2 linked regions of the Alligator mississippiensis genome follow. The protein of the gene in region 2 interacts with the protein of the main gene of each other region in a biochemical or structural test. Links are inferred from orthologs where the notes say so. Each region holds a gene or a part of one and is shown on either strand. Other genes may lie near its edges.

Region 1 (8,177 bases), on a different chromosome or scaffold from region 2:
TGCCCCAGGAGCACGCCAAGTAAGAGCCACCTGTTTAAAGGGGCCTGTTCCTCAAACTAGGAAATGTTTGAGGGCATGGCAGCTCCCAGCGCCTGGGCTGCAGGAGCCTCTCATGGTTGGCACCGGGGACCAGGCCCCAGGGGACAGGTGGGAGGTACAGGGAAGACCCTGCCCCTGGACTGCACGCGGGCACAGGGTTTACCTCCTCCAGCTGGGCTCCGGTGGGGGTGACAGATAGGCTGGGCTGTAGGGAGAGCTGTCAATGTGAAAACAGAGTTAAGGACCACATGGGGAGAAGTGGCGTTGGGCAGAAGAGGGGGAAGGGGCCATAGGCACAGTGCATCAGCACGTGACCCCAGCCAGCACTCTGCCCACACACATTAATCCCTGAGACCCAGAGGGGAGCCGTACACATGAGGAGGCAGCACCATCACCCCCCACAATGCATGTTAAAGGATATCTGCCGCATGTATCGGCGCAAGGGCGACATCATCCGGCGTGGGTCCCGCTGCACCCGCTCCACCAGGCCGTGGTGCCGCGTGCTGCGGGCCGAATCCAAAGGCGAATGCAAGGGGCCCTGCGGGGACACAAGGGGATGTCAGAAAGGGGGAGTCAGAAAGAAGGCATGGCCACAAGGGTGGGGGCCACAGCAGAGGGACAGCCGCTGCCCCCCCTTCCCATCCTCTCTGCCAAGGAACATTGCCAAGGCACCTGCAAAAGACCTCTTCTCTGCTCCTACCAAGCACACGCCATGGATGGCAGCACCAGGCCCCACAGATGCAGGGAGTAGGGTCATGCCCACAGAGGAAGACAGGGGAGTCCTGGGCCCTGCGGGCACCTCCTCCCCAGGCTGGAATTCACAGCTCTCTCCAGGCCTGCCCCTTCCCCTCACTCCACGCTGCCAGGTCCAGCAGCACATGACCCTACCCGGAGCCCCTCCATGCAGGCCTCCAGCCCTTCACTGCTGCTGGGTGTGCTCTTTGGGGAGGAGGGGAGTCTGCCAGCAGCAGACAGTGTAGGGCCTGCCCATGCCTGCACAGGAGCCCTGGGGCCCAAGAGCGCTTACCTGGAACTCAGACACGCCGCTCCCGATCTGGTTGACATTGGGCAGTGAGCCACTGTAGTAGGGTCCCCGGCTGTGAGCCAGCCTCAGCTTCTGGGCCTGCAACTGGACAAGAGGGGACAGGGCTTAGGTTAGAGTGCACAAAACGCAGCATGTGAGGCTGCCCCCCAGGACCACCGTGCTGCGGTGCCTTTGCCACCCACTGCCCATTCAGAAAGAGGAAGTTGGGCTGGGCCCTCACGTCAGTACCCGCGTGGCTCAGCCAGGCAGCAATCCATAGACAAGCACGCAGAGGGCCTGAGAGCAGCTCTAGTTCCTCCTAGAGCCAGGAAGGAAATCCAGGCTTTCTGACCCCTGGCTGGCAGGTGGCAGCACCCTGTGCTGGACCTGCCCACCAGCCCCTTGAAGCCGCCTCCCCATGGTGCTGGTAAGCCTGCAGCAGGTGGAACAGGGGACTCCCACTTTTAAACTTTGGAAGCTACCCGAAGAGTGAAGAGCAGGGTTGGGGCAGGAAGAGGCTTCACATGCAGAAGCCTGCTCTGCTCCTGGGCACACAGGCCCAGGGCTAACATCTTTTCCCAGAGCTGCGGCCCCAGGAGCCCCAGGGTGGCACGCAGGGGAGCATGGGGAGAGGGGTGCGTCCGGAGCAGGCAGATGGCACTAAGGAGGCCCAGGTCTGTGTAGCCAGACCCCACCCCCAGCCCCAGGGAAGGCCACCCAACTGGGCAGCCAGATAACGGGCTGGCCTTCGGGCCTGCTGTTCGGAACGAGCCTACGGGGAGGTTCTGTCCAGGGCTGGGCCCAGCCTCACTCCCTTGTGGGGCAAGTGGGAGACAGCATGTTGGCACAGGAGGATGCAAACCCCAGACCCACCTCCAGCCAGACCAGATGTATGGGTAAGTCCAGAGCCCAGCTGGGCCCTCTGCTGCTGAGGGGCTGACCCCCTAGCCCCCTCGTGTGCCCCTTCAGCCCATCAGAACTCCCCAGAGGTAGGCACACCACACACTGTGGTGGCCCCCAAGCCCAGGACCCCTGTGCAACACCCCCTCTGCCTCGCTGAGCAGAAGAGCTTGCTGTAGCCACATCCACTGTCAGTGGAAGCCCGAAATCAAGGCCGGGCGAGGGCGGGGAAGTCTGGCAGGAGGGAGTCATTGCAAAACCACAGGCTGGAGATAACGGAGTCCATGCCCGGGAGGGGGAAGCCCAGAGGAAACCAAACGCCTGTGGTGCCATTTCCAGGAGCAGGGTAGGACCTAGGGCACCCTAGGCAAGGAGCTCCCTAGGCAGCCGCTGCCCCTGGCCTGTCACAGGAGAGCTGGGCAGCACTGATGCAGGTCAGGGGCCACACCTGGGCCCCATGTTGAGGGCATCAAGCTGTGGGGCAAGGGACAAGCCTGGCAGATGCCACATCCCCAGTAGGGACACTTTGCTCTGGGAGCAGCCCCTTACCAACCCCCTGGGGCCATGCAGGCAGCCAAGACAGGCCTGAGCAAGGCACGAGCATGCAGGGCGAGCCAGGCTTCCTGGACCAGACCCTCTCCTCCTGGCCACCGGGTTATGGCTGTGGGGGGCGAGAGGGAGGGCCCAGCCGCGGCTCTGGAAGGGGCACGCGCTGCCCCGAGCCCTGCACACAACAGACACTGCACCACTGCCAGTGCCCAGGCCAGGAGGGAGCCAGCACCACTCTGCCCGCACGAGCAACACCAAGATCAAGCGTGACAATGCCCAATTCAGCCCGGGGTCTGCCAGGCACCCGCTCGGGGATGCTGCTGTCTGCACACAGCCCCAGGGCCAACTGCAGAGCCAGCTCTGCTCAGTCCCGGCCCAGACAGTCCTTAGGGCTGGACATGGGGCCTGAGCCCCCTTCCCGCGGCTGGCACATTCCCCATGCCAAGCCCGGCAGCCCCTCCAGCCAGGCGAGGGCCTGCCCCTCCATGGAAGACAGCGACTTCCTCATCGTGAGAAGCAGGAAGGCGTTTGCCGTGACCCACATCCCGGGACGCCGCGGCTGCCGCTTCCAGGGCAAGCTGCGGAGCTGCCATTGGGCCTTGCCCGGTGCGCGCCCACCTGCGTGGGAGGGAGCCGCTGACTCCCCCAGCGCCCACCCACTCCTCCGCCTCGCCTCCAGCCCGGCCCCACGGCGCAGAGCTCCCAGCCAGGATCCGGACCCCGGCACGGGGAGGTTTAGCCGCAGCTGCCTCCGGGGGACTGGGGGCCGTGGGGGGTCCCACGAGTTGGGGAGTCTTGTCCGGAGCCCTAGACGCGGCTTAGGGCAGGGTCCCAGCGGCGGGTCCCGGACTGCCCCGGGGGGCGCCGCCACCGAGCTGGTGGAGGATCCTGGAGGAGCACCCCCGAGCCCGAGCCCAGGCGGCCAGGCCCGGCACGTGGCGGGGACACCTGCCCGCGGCCCCTCCCCGGGGGCCTGTGCCCGGCCGCGGCGGGCGGCCCCGGGCCCCACGTGAGCGGGGGTTGTTGCGCAGCCCCGGCCCGACCCGGCCCCCGCGCATCCGCGTTGCCATGGCAGCGCCGCCCCGGCCCCGATCCGGCGCCGCTCACCCGGGTGGAGCCGATCTCCATCATCACCTCCTCGAAGGCCGCGGTCTCCTCCGCTTGCCGCTGCTTCTGCAGCGCGATCTTCTCGCTGAACTTGCGCGGGTTGGAGGCGCCGGCGCCGGCCGCGGAGCCCGGCCCGGCCCCAGCCCCGGAGCCCCCGGCCCCGGCCCCCGCGCCCGCCGCCGCCATCTTCCCTGCTCGGGCCGCTCCGCCGCCGCCGCTCGCAGGGCCCAGGCCGCGCCGCGGGGCACGACGGGAGCGGGAGTTCCGGGCCGGGGCGACCCCACCCGCGCCGCGGGGCCGAGGGGCGGAAGCGGACTCCGAGTCCCAGCGGCCCCCGCGCGCGCCGGAGGGAAACACCGCGGGGGCCGCCGGGAGCCGCAGTGCGCCGCGAGGGGAAGCGCCTGGGCCGGGCGGGGCGCGCGGACTACAGCTCCCGGCGTGCCCCGCGCGCCCGGCCCAGCACGGCGGCCTGCAGGGGGCGTCAGACCGGTGTTCGCGGAACACCACGGATACAGCGCGAAGTGGGTGCAGCGCCGAGCACCCCACCCGGCTGTTAGGCGAGCCCCTGCCTGCACGGCTCCTCGGCCACACCGAAGTCCCCTGGGGCAGCTGGGAAGCGACCACCCCCCACCAGCCCCGGTGCCCCCCAGCCGGGCCGGACTTCACAGCCAGGAGCATCCCCTGGGGCTGAGCGCAGGCGCTGGGCTCCGCGAGGCACAGACACGACGGAGACAGCAATGCAGAAAGTCATTTTATTGGCACCCCCGGGGCTGTCGGAGCAGCCCAGGGGCGGAGAAGGGTGTTAGTAAAATAGACTCTGTGCCCGCACCTGGGGCTTGCTTAACAAGGGGCAGGCTGGAAAATAGCCTGGGAAGGGGACTGAGAGCGTAAAAAAATAGTGCCGTGGGCTCCCAAGGGCCACGGCAGCACTTCCACCAAGGGCAAGAGCCCCCGGGGCCTGGGGCTTGCTGCCAGCCGTGGGTCACTGCAGCGCGGGTGGGACCTGGCGGGGGGAGCAGGCGTCGCCTGGCTGATTCCCAGGGATCGCCCCCACCGCGGCTCCATAAAGTCTCCACCCCAAAGCGCTTCCCAGAGGTCAGGATCGTGGGCCCCATTTTAGAGGGGGAAACAGGCCCAGAGCAGCGAGGGGACTTGCCCAAGGTCATCCTGTGGGCCGGTGGCAAAGACGGGGGAGCCCAGGTCTGCTAAGAGCCAGACAGGGACCCAGCCAACTTGTTACAAACAGCACTCAGCTCTGCCCGGCTGCCACCCTGACCAGCCTGGCACGTTCCCCGCCCAGCCCAGTGTCATTGCAGCTGCCAGTGAGAACAAGCAGAGAAACCAGCAGCTGCAGCTGGTGTCCTGCCTCCTCCTGTGTTATTGGACAGCCTGAGCCGAGGCCCGTGTCCCAAGAGAGTCACAGGCCCCGATCCTGGGCTCAGGCCCTTTGTCCCTCTGTCAGTGGCCCCACATGGTCCGCAGCTTTGGGAAGGGCGAGGGAAGTTTGGCACTTAAACACGAAGGGTACAGGGGTGGCTGGGCAAAGCCCACAGCGCGCACCAGACTCTGGAGTGCTGCTGTGACCAGGGCTGCTCTGGCCCTGGGGGCACTGGGTCTGGCCTGCGCGCTGCAGGGGCAGGCCCCTGAGCCCCCAGGGTGATCCCCCACTGCAGGCAGGGGGTGATGGGCCAGTGAATGGCCCGACCCTGGGTCTGTGGCCCTGGCTTGGGAATCCCCTGCCCATGGGAGTCTGCGGGGAGGGGATTCCCAAGCCACAGGACAGGTGACGTAGGCTCCCTGCAACCCCATCGCGCGCACACACACACACACACACACACACACACACACAGCTGACTGCACCCCCAACCCTTGGTGCTGCAATGAGCTGTGTGCACTACCCACAGGACCCTCCAGTCAGATCTTGATGAAGAGGATGCCGGTGACGAGGGCAAAGCCGGCGATGAGCAGGATGACCTTGAGGATGCGCTGCTCCGGGGAGCCGAGCTCATGGGGCAGGATCTCCAGGAAGGTGATGTAGACGAAGGTGCCGGCTGCCAGCCCCTCCAGCACGCTGCGTGAGAGCTGTGGCAGTGCGGCCGCTGTCTCCGTCAGTGCCACGCCCAGCCCAATGCCCAGTGGGGACATTAGGGCGAAGAGCAGCAGGCAGCCGACCACGGCGCGCGGGTGCAGCTGACCTTGTAGCAGCTTCAGCGAGAGGCTGAAGGCCACAATGCACTTGTGGACCAGCAATGCCAGGCAGATCTCGAGGGCCTTGGCACCAGCCTCCTGCAGCCCCACGGCCAGACCCTCAAAGACTGAGTGCAGCGAGAGTGCCAGCACCAGCGCGAAGGACCGGATGGCTGAGTGCGCGTTGAAGTCGATGTGCACGTGGGGCCGGTCAGGGCCAGGGCCATGCGCTGAGCGCAGGGGCCCATCCGACCAGGGCTGGGCCTGCACAGAGCCATCTTGCGATGAGCCCCCCAGCAGCGCCTGTGTTTCCTCCAGGGAGCCTGCCTGGTCCCTGTAGGCCAGCACGATCTGCTCCATCACCAGCACCAGGAAGAAGCCCATAGCCAGGATGAATTCCTGCAGGGGGAACTGGAGCTGCGAGGGAAGGGGTAGGAGCCACATCAGCAGGGGGAGCATGGCTCAGCCCTCGCAGCAGCCCCTGCACAGGGAAGGGGGAGCAGAGGGGCCAGAGCAGCCAATGCATCACTGCTGAGAAGCAGAGTCCACCCGGGGCTGCCAGGAAGCTGCTGGGAGAAGGGCGGGGGCGGGAGGCAGCTCCAGTGAGTCACCCTGGAGAGCGGCTGGAACAGGGCCTCCTCCCAGCCTCCACCGGGGATCGCACCCGGTCAGGCAGCAAGCTGGAGCCGACAGCCGTCCCCAGGGCAGCCTTCCGCCCCTTTCCTGCCCTGCCAACCCCTGCCCAGGGTCCTCCATGCCCCTGGGAGCCCCCTACCCCACACACACTGCCCCAACACACATAGCCCAGGTGCAGGGAAGGGGGAAGCTGCTCCGCACAGGCTCACCGTGACTCTCAGGTTCTCCAGCGCCTCATCAATGCCCTCCAGGTAGTCGGGGATCAGGTCCAGGAGGCAGGTGGCCAGAAACACACCACCCGCAAAGCAGCTTACCAGGCTCAGGAACCTCCTGCGTGCGTCTGTCCAGAAAAGGGTTGTGGGGGGATGCTGACGCAGTTCACTGCCCCCACCCCTGAGGCAGCCAGCAGCGAGGTCCCTGGCCAGGGATCTGGCTGCAGAGCTTCAAGGGCCTGCACCCTTCACCTGCCCCCAGGGCCAGGGGAAATGCCCCAGCCCAGTGTTACCCAGAACACAGGCCATGCATCCACAGCCTGGGTGCAAAGCGGTGCCTCCTTTCCCTAGTGATGCCTGGCACAGCACATGCTGTGGGCAGGGGGGTGACCCCAGGCAGGGAAACCCAACACACAACCCCACTGCACCCCGGGGTACGGGCCAGGTTCTGCTGCTGACTCTGCATGACCTGGGTCACACCACTCCCTCCCCCACTCCCAGGCCTCGCTCACTGTCTGTGTAATGGGAGCGGTGCTCCTGCTGGGGGCAGGTCCCCTGCTGGGGCCAGGGCTGGCTCTGCCCAGTAAGCACTAGCAGGATGGGGCCCTACTCTCGAGAGCACCCAGCATTCCCAAACCCGCTCTGTCCAGAATCATGACCTAGAGGAACCCTGGTTCACAGGGTCCAGAGCCTGAGGCCCCTGGACCAACAGCCTAGCCCCGGTTTCCTTCAGGGCACAGGGGCCAATCCCTTAGGGCTCATCTAGCTCCCCATGCACTAAGAGCCCTTCCTGCCAGCGGGGCCAGGTGCTGCTCTGCTGGGACCTCTGTGCTGCAGCCACAGGCATGGGGGCTGGCTCAGGACCAGCCCCAGCTACCAGGACCCCGAGCCACCATGCCTGTCTCTTGGGCTTGGCAGCCAGACATGGTTTCCCTGGAGGCCCAGGTGGTAAAATCATGGCCTGGTTCCTGACCGCAGTCATACCCCCTGCCCTCCCGCTGCCGGCCAGACAGGCCTTGTCCTGGAGACTTCTGGCCCCCCAGGAGCTCTGGCACAAGCCTCACCGGAGGAGCCGGCTGCACTACCGGGGTGCCGGAAGATGCAGAGTGGGGCCAGGCCACAGACGATGGTCAGCAGCAGCAGCGTCACCAGCGACCCCAGCTTCACCTCCAAGCCTGTTGGAGAGCGCTTCACAGCCACGCCAGCACCGGGGCTCCATGCCATCTGCTCTGGGTTAGCCCCAGGGCCCAGCCACACAGGCATGGCTCCAGAGGGAAGGTGGGCAGCTCCCAGCAGGCTGGAAATCTCTTCTGCTGCCGAGCCCCCCGCAGTCGGCTCTGGGTGCCCTCCACAGCCCTGCCCTTAGCTGCCAGGAGCCTTCACTGCCACAGGGGTGTGTCTCATCCTCAGCGTGGCATCCGTCTTCAGCCCTGCAATAGTGGCAGGGTCAGTGGGACCTTTGAGGCCAATGATAGCACTGCCAGGAACGGGCCTGGGTGCCCCAGCCTCCAGCTGCGTGAGGG
Region 2 (8,206 bases):
ACTTCTTGCTTTTTAAACATAGAAATGTCAGGATCATCATTTCCTATCTTGTTCTTATTGGAGGCTTAGAGAAGTGGAGTGGGAGCTGCCTTCACCCTGGACAGGAAGGGCAGGGAACTGAAACCGCTGGACATCTAGCTTTAAAGAGATGTCAAACCAAAGTGCTAGTCTTGGGTTCGAAATCTGGCTGCTCCACAACCTCTTGGTTTCTCTTTAGTCTGGACGCTATGCTTCTAGTTCTCCAGCCACCCAGAGTCTTTCGGGAAAAATAAGCCCTGAAACTACTCAAGCACAAAATATTCTGAAGACCCTTCAGGGCCTTATGACACAGAAAAAAAGCCCCCAATTTCTCTTATTTGCAGGTGATGTGTGGGTTGCATATGCCAGCCAAAAGCCTTAGGCCCTATCCCTTAACTAGGTTATGCCTAGTATAGTTAACCTGATACAAATCTCTACTAAAGATGCACCACATTAAAGACTTATTCACACCTGGATTAAGTCATGCTGGTGCAAGCCCATTTTGCAACGCTGCGGCAGTTCTGCATTAAGGGTTTGCACAAAGGCAGGTACATCAGTTCTAGGCTATTTTGGATCAATTTGTTCTGGATATAAACCAAACTGAGAGGCACAGTGAAGGTAGGAAAAAAGGTGCTATCCTTCCACGTACTGAGTAGTACACCGCTATGCATTCGGAAGTACGCTGGAAGGCCCGTCTCATCTTGTATCCCATCTCCTACAGAAGCCATCACCAGATGCTTCACTGTAAGGTGCAAACCACATCGAACAGACAGTTAGGTACCACATGCCTAGCGGAGAAGTTTTTCCAAGTTCTGGCAGTTGGTGGCTGGCTTATATCCTGAACCCAGAGACCTGATTAGTCAGAAGTGTTTATTCTCCTGCACCACACCATAGCTAACATCATCATGTACTCATCCTTAGACAGCTTTCAGACTCAGTCTTTGGGGAGGCAGTTCCATGGGTTAGTTACACTTTTAAGTACCGGGGACTATTTAAAGTGCATAACCTAAGGATTAATAGTAATAATAATAATAATAATAATAATAAAAAAAAAAGTTTCTGCACTTACCTGAACTCATTACACACCATGCTCATTAACTGCCGCAGCAGCCTACGCTACGCTTCTTAGATCTCATTAAGGTCCCGTACTTTGTTTCTCAGAATGCCTTTTGCCTCTAATAGCAGCCTCAAAACTGACAGGACCCAGTCAGTGCGGGGCTTCTTCAGAAGCCTCAAAATTGACAGCTCCTGGTCCAAATTTCACCAATTATGCACTTAAACAGAGTACAACAGAAGCACAATTAGGTTACAGGGTAGGCACTGGGGCCCAAGAGTGCCTGTACACTTAACCCAAATGAAGATAAGCGGCACGCGAGAAGTGTATTGCTCGTATTGCAGCTGGTGTCTGCTCCCTCTTAGGAGACAGTAAACAAGAGGAGACTGGGTTTTACCTATTATTTTAGGGTTCTTGTCACCATTTACTCTCCTCGAAAAGTAAGTAGCTCTAATCTTCCTAAATGTCCCTCTCATGGGTGTTTTTTCTATGCCTCTCGGCTATTTTGGTTTCCTCCAGTGGACTTATTTTCGCCTCTGTCCTGAGCAAAACCATAAGTTCTGCTCCTTGGTGGATACTTCATTAGCCAACTCATCCTCTGATCACAGAAACATCCTGTGATACAACACAGGCTGCATGAAAGGACCTGTTACAAACTTCAGAGCCTAAGAAGTACAGACAATAAGCAGAACAAAAGGTTGTGAATACAAGGCAGCCTCGTTCAACGATCCTGCTGGAAGAAGGGCGCTGAACTACCCGCTGTTGTTACAAATGCAACTCCTTCATTCCTGTCAACTTTCTTCACTCAAGTGCTTAATTACCCATGTTTAAGTGTTGCATTAATATAAAGTTTCACGTTTAATGCAAAACTCATTTGCATATCTACCTTCAAGCCTACTTTCCCTTCTAATGCACTCATGCTGGTTCAGTTTGCATTTCACTTTTATCTGGCGCTAGCAATATTGAGTTTTCGGTTTATGGCTGATGTTTGCGAGGCACAAATCCGGCGCGCAGCTTCTCAAGCGCAGGCCGGATTTTGCACGGCAGTCAAGGCTCAGGTACTCCCCACATACAGAGCTTGCTAAATAACTGGACTGGAAAATAAGCTTGGGTTTGCCAGACTCGTTGACTCGGTGGAAGTGAAGACAAAGTGCACAAACAAACGAAGCGACTGCCTCCAGTAAACAGGCAGCCCCAAGGTACCCAGGCTGCAAGGAAGGGAACCCGGCGCATAACGCGTGAGCCGGGGCCGGAAAACGGAGGAGACTCTCACATAAGGAAAGACTTTTCTAAAATGATTTTTCCAAACGAGTCTCAACAGAAACGGAGCGCGGCATTTCCTGCAGTGCAGACACGCAAGGAAAACGTTGATACAAGCCCGATACAAGCTACGTGTCCCCCATCGCGAGCTGCACGGAGACCCGCCGGCTGTGCAAGGGGGCGACTTGGGGAGCGAACGACCCCAGGACACGCAAGGACGACGGTCCGGCTGGAAATCGGAGCGTCTTCCCGCCGGGAAGAGCCGCTCGGCCGAGCGCGACGCCCGGTCCCTTTCGTGCGGGGCCCAGCGTCGCGACCAACTTGTGCCGTGCTCAGGTGGGACGGCCCTCTGCCCTTCCTAAAAAGTTATTTTCCTCTCCTCCCTCCTCCGACCCACCCCACCAGCCAGGCCACGCTTGGTCCTGTCCTCTCGCTGCAGGGCGCCCCGGCGCCCCACGTCCATCTCACCGGTGAAAAGAGCAGGAAAAAATCCCCGTCTTTAGATGCAAAACTTTGTCACCCTGGAAAACCGAGCCCCGTTACGGCGGGGTGTTAAAACGCAGGGTGCAAACCCCGGCGCTGGGGGGGGGGCAGGACACCCCGGTCCCTCCCGCACGCCGCGTCCCGATCCACCCGAGCACAAATTAAACCCCCCCCAAAATAACTGTGTGGCGGTGCTGTCGCGGGGGCTGGGGGGCAGGAGCCGTGGTGGCCGTTGGGGCTGGGGCGGGGGAGGCTGACCTCGCTGCGCGTGATGCGGTGCCGCGCCAGCTTGACCACGGCGAAGTTGCCCTTGCCCAGCGTGCCCTCGATGTCGTAGAAGCCGACGCGCACGGGCCCGGGCCCGCGGGGCAGCAGCGCGGGGGGCCGCCGGGGCTCGGCCATCACCATGCTCGGCGCTCGCGGCGGCGGCGGCGGCGGCTCCGCTCGGCTCCCGCTCCCGCTCCGTCTGCGGCGCCCGGCCGCCGCGCGCCCCGCCCCGCCCCCCCCGCGTCACCGCGCGCGTCACCGGGGGCGGCGCCTCGCCATGGCAACCGGAGCCCCCGCCGCGGAGCTGTTCCCCCCCGCCTCGCCGGGGCTCCCCGGGCTCTTCCCGCCGGGGCTCCCCTCCCCGCCCCTGGGGCCCAGGGGATTGCACGCGGGCACGCGCACGCACGTGCCCCCCCCTCCAGGGCTGCTGCAGAGGGGGCTTGCACGCTTGCTTGCACACATGCGCCTTCCCCTAGGGTTCTGCAAAGGAGGCTTGCACACGCATGCGTCCCCCCCCCTCCAGGGCTGGTGCAAAAGGGGTTTGCACGCTTGCTTGCACACATGAGCCCCCAGGGTTCTGCAAAGGGGGCTTGCACACTTGTTTCACGCACATACACATGTCCCCCCTCCGGGGCTAGTGCAAAAGAAGGCTTGCACACTTGCTTGCACACACGCGCCCCCCCTCCAGAGTGCTGCAAAGGGGGCTTGCACACACACACACACACACACACGTCCCGCCTCCAGGGCTAGTGCAAAGGAGGCTTGCACACTTGCATGCACACACACACACACATTAATCCCCACTTCACGGCTGATGCAAAGGGGCCTCACACACTTGGTTACACACATGCACACAAACACACACATGTCCCCCTTCCAGGGCTGTGCAAAGGGGGCCTGCACACTTGCTTGCACACGTGCCCCCCCTCCAGGGTTCTGCAAAGGGGTTTGCACACACACACACACGCACACGCATGTCCCCCTTCCACGGCTGGTGCAAAGGGGGCTTGTACACTTGCTTGCACACATACACATGCGCGTGCCCCCCCCCTTCAGGGCTGGTGGAGAGAGGCCCCTGCCCCCCTCAGTCCCTGCTGTCCGGGCCCCGACCAGGCTCGCAGCGCCCGGCCGCCGCGCGAACAGGAGCAGAGACACCTGCGGGACACAGGCCACCGGCGCACGAGGCTCTGGGTAAATCCGATCTCTTTTATTAGACCAGCGCCAACAGTTGGAAAAATTCTTCTTTGCAAGCTTTCGGGCACAAACGCCCTTCGTCAGGCTGGGGAAGCGCCTGCAGTCGGCGCGCGCTCCTCCTGGATGGAGCCCGAGGCACTTCCCCCACCTCCGCAGCCGGCCGCCTCTCTGGGCACCAACGTTGACACGGATCCGGCGTGCCAGCGCCTCCCTTGGGAAATCGCTCCTTTGTGGCTTGATTCATCGCCCCCCCCGGGAAGACACAGCTACGAGGACGCCCGACGGCAGACCTCAAGCGCACGGATGCCGACGTGGCGAGTAGGGGGATCTGGCTGCCAACCAACTCCAGCGGCATCCCGTTTTGAGGTAAAGCATCTCGCCCTCGAAGCGGAGAAGAGCGAGCGGAGGAAAGGAAAGCAGAGAAATCCTCGCCTACAGCCTACCCTTCCCCGTAGGAAGACCTGCAATTTCTGCGGCCGGGTCTTTGGCTCGAGGATTGGACTCGCCTCAAGACCCATCTATGAACCACAGTAGAGATCATCCTCGAACCGAGGGATTGCTGAGGACGACAAAGGAGCTGTCTTTTACTGGGTCCATCTGGCCCAGCTTTTCCTTCTGCAGAAGGGCAGCATCCCTTAAGAGTGAAAGCACATCTGGGCTTGGCAGGCAAGGCCCGGGCTACGGCTGAGGCTGGGGCTTCCCCGGGCAGGGCTGCGGTCCCTTGCATATCGTGTGCATGCACCGCCTGCTCTGCTGAGCGAGTGGGAGCGGGGGCACCGCTCTGTTTGGCTGCGGGGAGGGGGTACCCGGCGGCTGAACCGCTGCACGACAACAGGGAAACTCGCATCAGCCTCCCCCCGCCAGCGAGCCGCCCGCAACCATGAGGAACTGAGCAAGCTGCTGGGGGGAGTCACCAGCACCCGGGGTGGGGTCTGGCCCAACGTGCAAGCAGTGCTGCTGCCTAAGAAAACCGAGCCACAAAACCAAGGGGAAGTGAGATCTGCAGATTTGGACCAAGATTCAGAAACATTCGTAACACAAAACCCCACATCGCGCAGTAGCAGAAAGCAGATGCTGAAAGGGAGAGTGAACAGGCTGTGGCCGGGGTTGTTTTTCCCCCTTCCTCTCTCACTCGCAGGCTCCAGCATTTAAGGTCTAGGAAGCTCTGATTCAGAGGCTGTGCCTGAACGCCGGTGCTCGCTAGCGACTGATGCCTCTTTCCTCCGAGGAAAGCAAGCGAGGCGGGAGCAGGGGCCCAGGTGGAAATCATGTCACCGCGCTCCAGGCAGCAGGGAGCTTCTTCATACCCAAAGCAAATGCCATTGCTGAACACCAGGCACGATGCCCGCGTGCCGAGACGCAGGGTGAATCCGCAGACCTACGTTGTACATGCGAGTCTGGCAGATGAAATGATTTGGGATCCACCCCCAGAGGAAACGGTCGTACCTCACCTCACAGGGCACTTCCTACTCGGATAAGAAGGCTGTAAATCACCTCTAGTTACATGAACAGCATTGGGCCAAGGCACAGCAAGAACCAGCCCAGCCAGGCAGCTGCTGCCGACTCCAGAGGAAGTGAGATGAAGCAGGATGGGCATGGGAATCCCACGGCAATACAGTCAAGCCACAACCTCACAACCTCCAGCTGCTCCAGTGCAGCGATGGGATCGCTAGCAGCGTGCATGGCCCCGCCAAAGATACAGAATGAAAACCATGACCCCCCCCATGCCTCCCCCTTACCACTCTGTGAGACGCTGGATGCAAAAGTTCAAACAACTGGAACAGAATGACATAATTGAAGAAACAATGTGCTGAGCGGGTCCCACCCATCGTAACAGGAAGCAAAGACTGGAGGTATTCTTGCTGCCTGCACTTCAGATAAAGCCTGCGGCATTGACAGTCCTCCGCTTCCACATAGAGATGAAGGTGTTTGGAGAACCTGATGGAGAAAGATGTATTCAGATCTTGATCTACAGCATGTACACCCCCGGCAATGTGATGTCATGGCATTTATCACAGAGATGGACTTCTGTGTTAAAAGTGAGGACCGGGCAGGCGTGCCTCATCACCCAGCGCTCTTCAGGGAATGGTGTCGGTGATCCTTGATGACCGGTCTGGAGTTCAGTATTATCTGGATGTCGTCAGCGTGTTTGAAGAGACACCAGAAGAGCATGGCACACACTTACAGGTCATACGAAAACACGTCACTGCGGCAGACCTGCAATCAAAGCTTTCTACATGGTGTCTTTCTTGGGCAAATCATTTCACAAAATGCACCAAAACCTTCCCTAGGTTGGGCTGTTGCAGTTACAAAGGTATTAGCACAGCAAGACATTCAAGCATTGCATTTTTTTTTTAGGTCTTCCATCAAGGCATGCAAGGTTTGTTTCAAACTATGCTTCAGCTGTAGAATAGACTTTCACGATGTATTACTTCTGGCCATTTGCTAAGGTAGTCTATCAGGGCGATGGCATAACGGCCTCAACTGGAGCAGTGTTAAATGATCCCATGAAGTCAATCACAAGCTTTTTCCATGCTGAATCAGGAGAAAATGCAGGTTGTAATGGTGACGTGTGGATCACCGAGTGCGTCCCTGACTGTTACGGACCTCACGTTTATCCTGGACAGCTGCTGGGCAAGCCAATTTTGAAAGGGAAAAAGCTTTGGTCAGCACCCTAGCACTCCTGTTTTACCTTCTGTGGTGACTATTCATGTCTCAAACTGCAGATTTGGAGCCCAACTTAGCCAGATCCATGATGACAACACTGAACAGACTGTTGCAGTTGCTTTCAGAGAGCTTGCTGGAGCTGAGAAAGTCACCCAAAGGGAAACACTTACTTTGCATATAGGCTACAGAAAAATAGGGGGGTAGCCTTTGGACCACAGCTTCAAACTGTGCACAGTGCACACAGCCCTTTGGCAGCACTGCTAAAGCAAAAGGGCTCGGCCAAATAGGAATGCACATTGCCAGGCGGTCGGTGGGATTATACAGGAGGAGGAGCACAGGCCAGGAACCAGAAGTGTGACAGCGCTGTGCTCCTCTTGCCTGTATTGTCACCAGATTCCTGCTTGGAAGTAACTGCAGTTCTCACAAGTATGATTTCTGCATTGACCAAAGGAGTATTCAAAGCTTCTTGCTCAACAAATACTGAGAATTACTGACAATGCAACAGTCAAATAATGCCAAACGCCTAGACCCAGCTTAGCTGGTATGTGTTAGGCTACAGAGCCATCTTTCCCTAGATGGATGTGGGGCACACCAACTTTTTATTACAGAGGAGCTACAGGCAAAACACAGACACCTTGCTTTTGATATGAACTAGAACAAACCAACAGCCATGAGCTCTATAACTATGGCCAGCAATGGATGCTCAAGTGGAGGTTGCTTTAAAGTCTTGTGTTACCTGTCAATCACTTAACAAGACCTCCGTGACCCACACACCATCATCACCATATCTTTCCCCAGTTCAGCATGGAAAAAGCACATGATTGACTTCATGTGACCATTTAACAATGTTCCCCTTGAGGCCATGATGCCATGGGCCTGATCAGCTATCTCAGCAAATGGCCAGAAGTGCTCACATCACAAGTCATTGCTGGTATGGCAGTTACTGTCTTCAGCAGAGAAGAAAACCTGAATGTTTGGTAACAGATCACAGACCATCTCCTTAGAGCTGGAAACTTTCCTAACACAGAGGAAAAGCAGGCAGAAAAGGTCACTGGTGCCTTGCCCTCAAGCCAAAGGGGAACCTGAACTCTTCAAGAGACCTCTGACAGAGTTCACAGACAGTGCATGCGGGAGAAAAAGCGTGGAAAGTGTTCACCAGGAACTTACAGGGCTACACGTTGTGCAGACCCTCAGAAATCAGAGGATGAATTACCCTGCAGAAGAGAGAGACACATAAAGCTAAATGTCATGGGATTACACATG

What was found.
Region 1: of the proteins of SIK2 (region 2) and CRTC2, one has a biochemical effect on the other in vitro, tested with the Homo sapiens proteins (2 studies listed by BioGRID). The link is inferred for Alligator mississippiensis from reciprocal best matches to the Homo sapiens genes SIK2 and CRTC2.

What each region holds. Positions count from the first base shown.
Region 1 is NC_081838.1:13,053,525-13,061,701, reverse strand, and holds the start of CRTC2 (CREB-regulated transcription coactivator 2), read right to left. Parts: upstream 3,821-8,177; 5' UTR 3,806-3,820; coding exon 3,620-3,805; intron 1,169-3,619; coding exon 1,067-1,168; intron 578-1,066; coding exon 461-577; intron 265-460; coding exon 203-264; intron 1-202. Other genes in the region: SLC39A1 (zinc transporter ZIP1), read right to left, coding at 5,534-6,223, 6,652-6,782, 7,719-7,917. UniProt on the Homo sapiens protein: Transcriptional coactivator for CREB1 which activates transcription through both consensus and variant cAMP response element (CRE) sites.
Region 2 is NC_081839.1:31,499,730-31,507,935, reverse strand, and holds the start of SIK2 (serine/threonine-protein kinase SIK2), read right to left. Parts: upstream 3,277-8,206; 5' UTR 3,224-3,276; coding exon 3,074-3,223; intron 1-3,073. UniProt on the Homo sapiens protein: Serine/threonine-protein kinase that plays a role in many biological processes such as fatty acid oxidation, autophagy, immune response or glucose metabolism.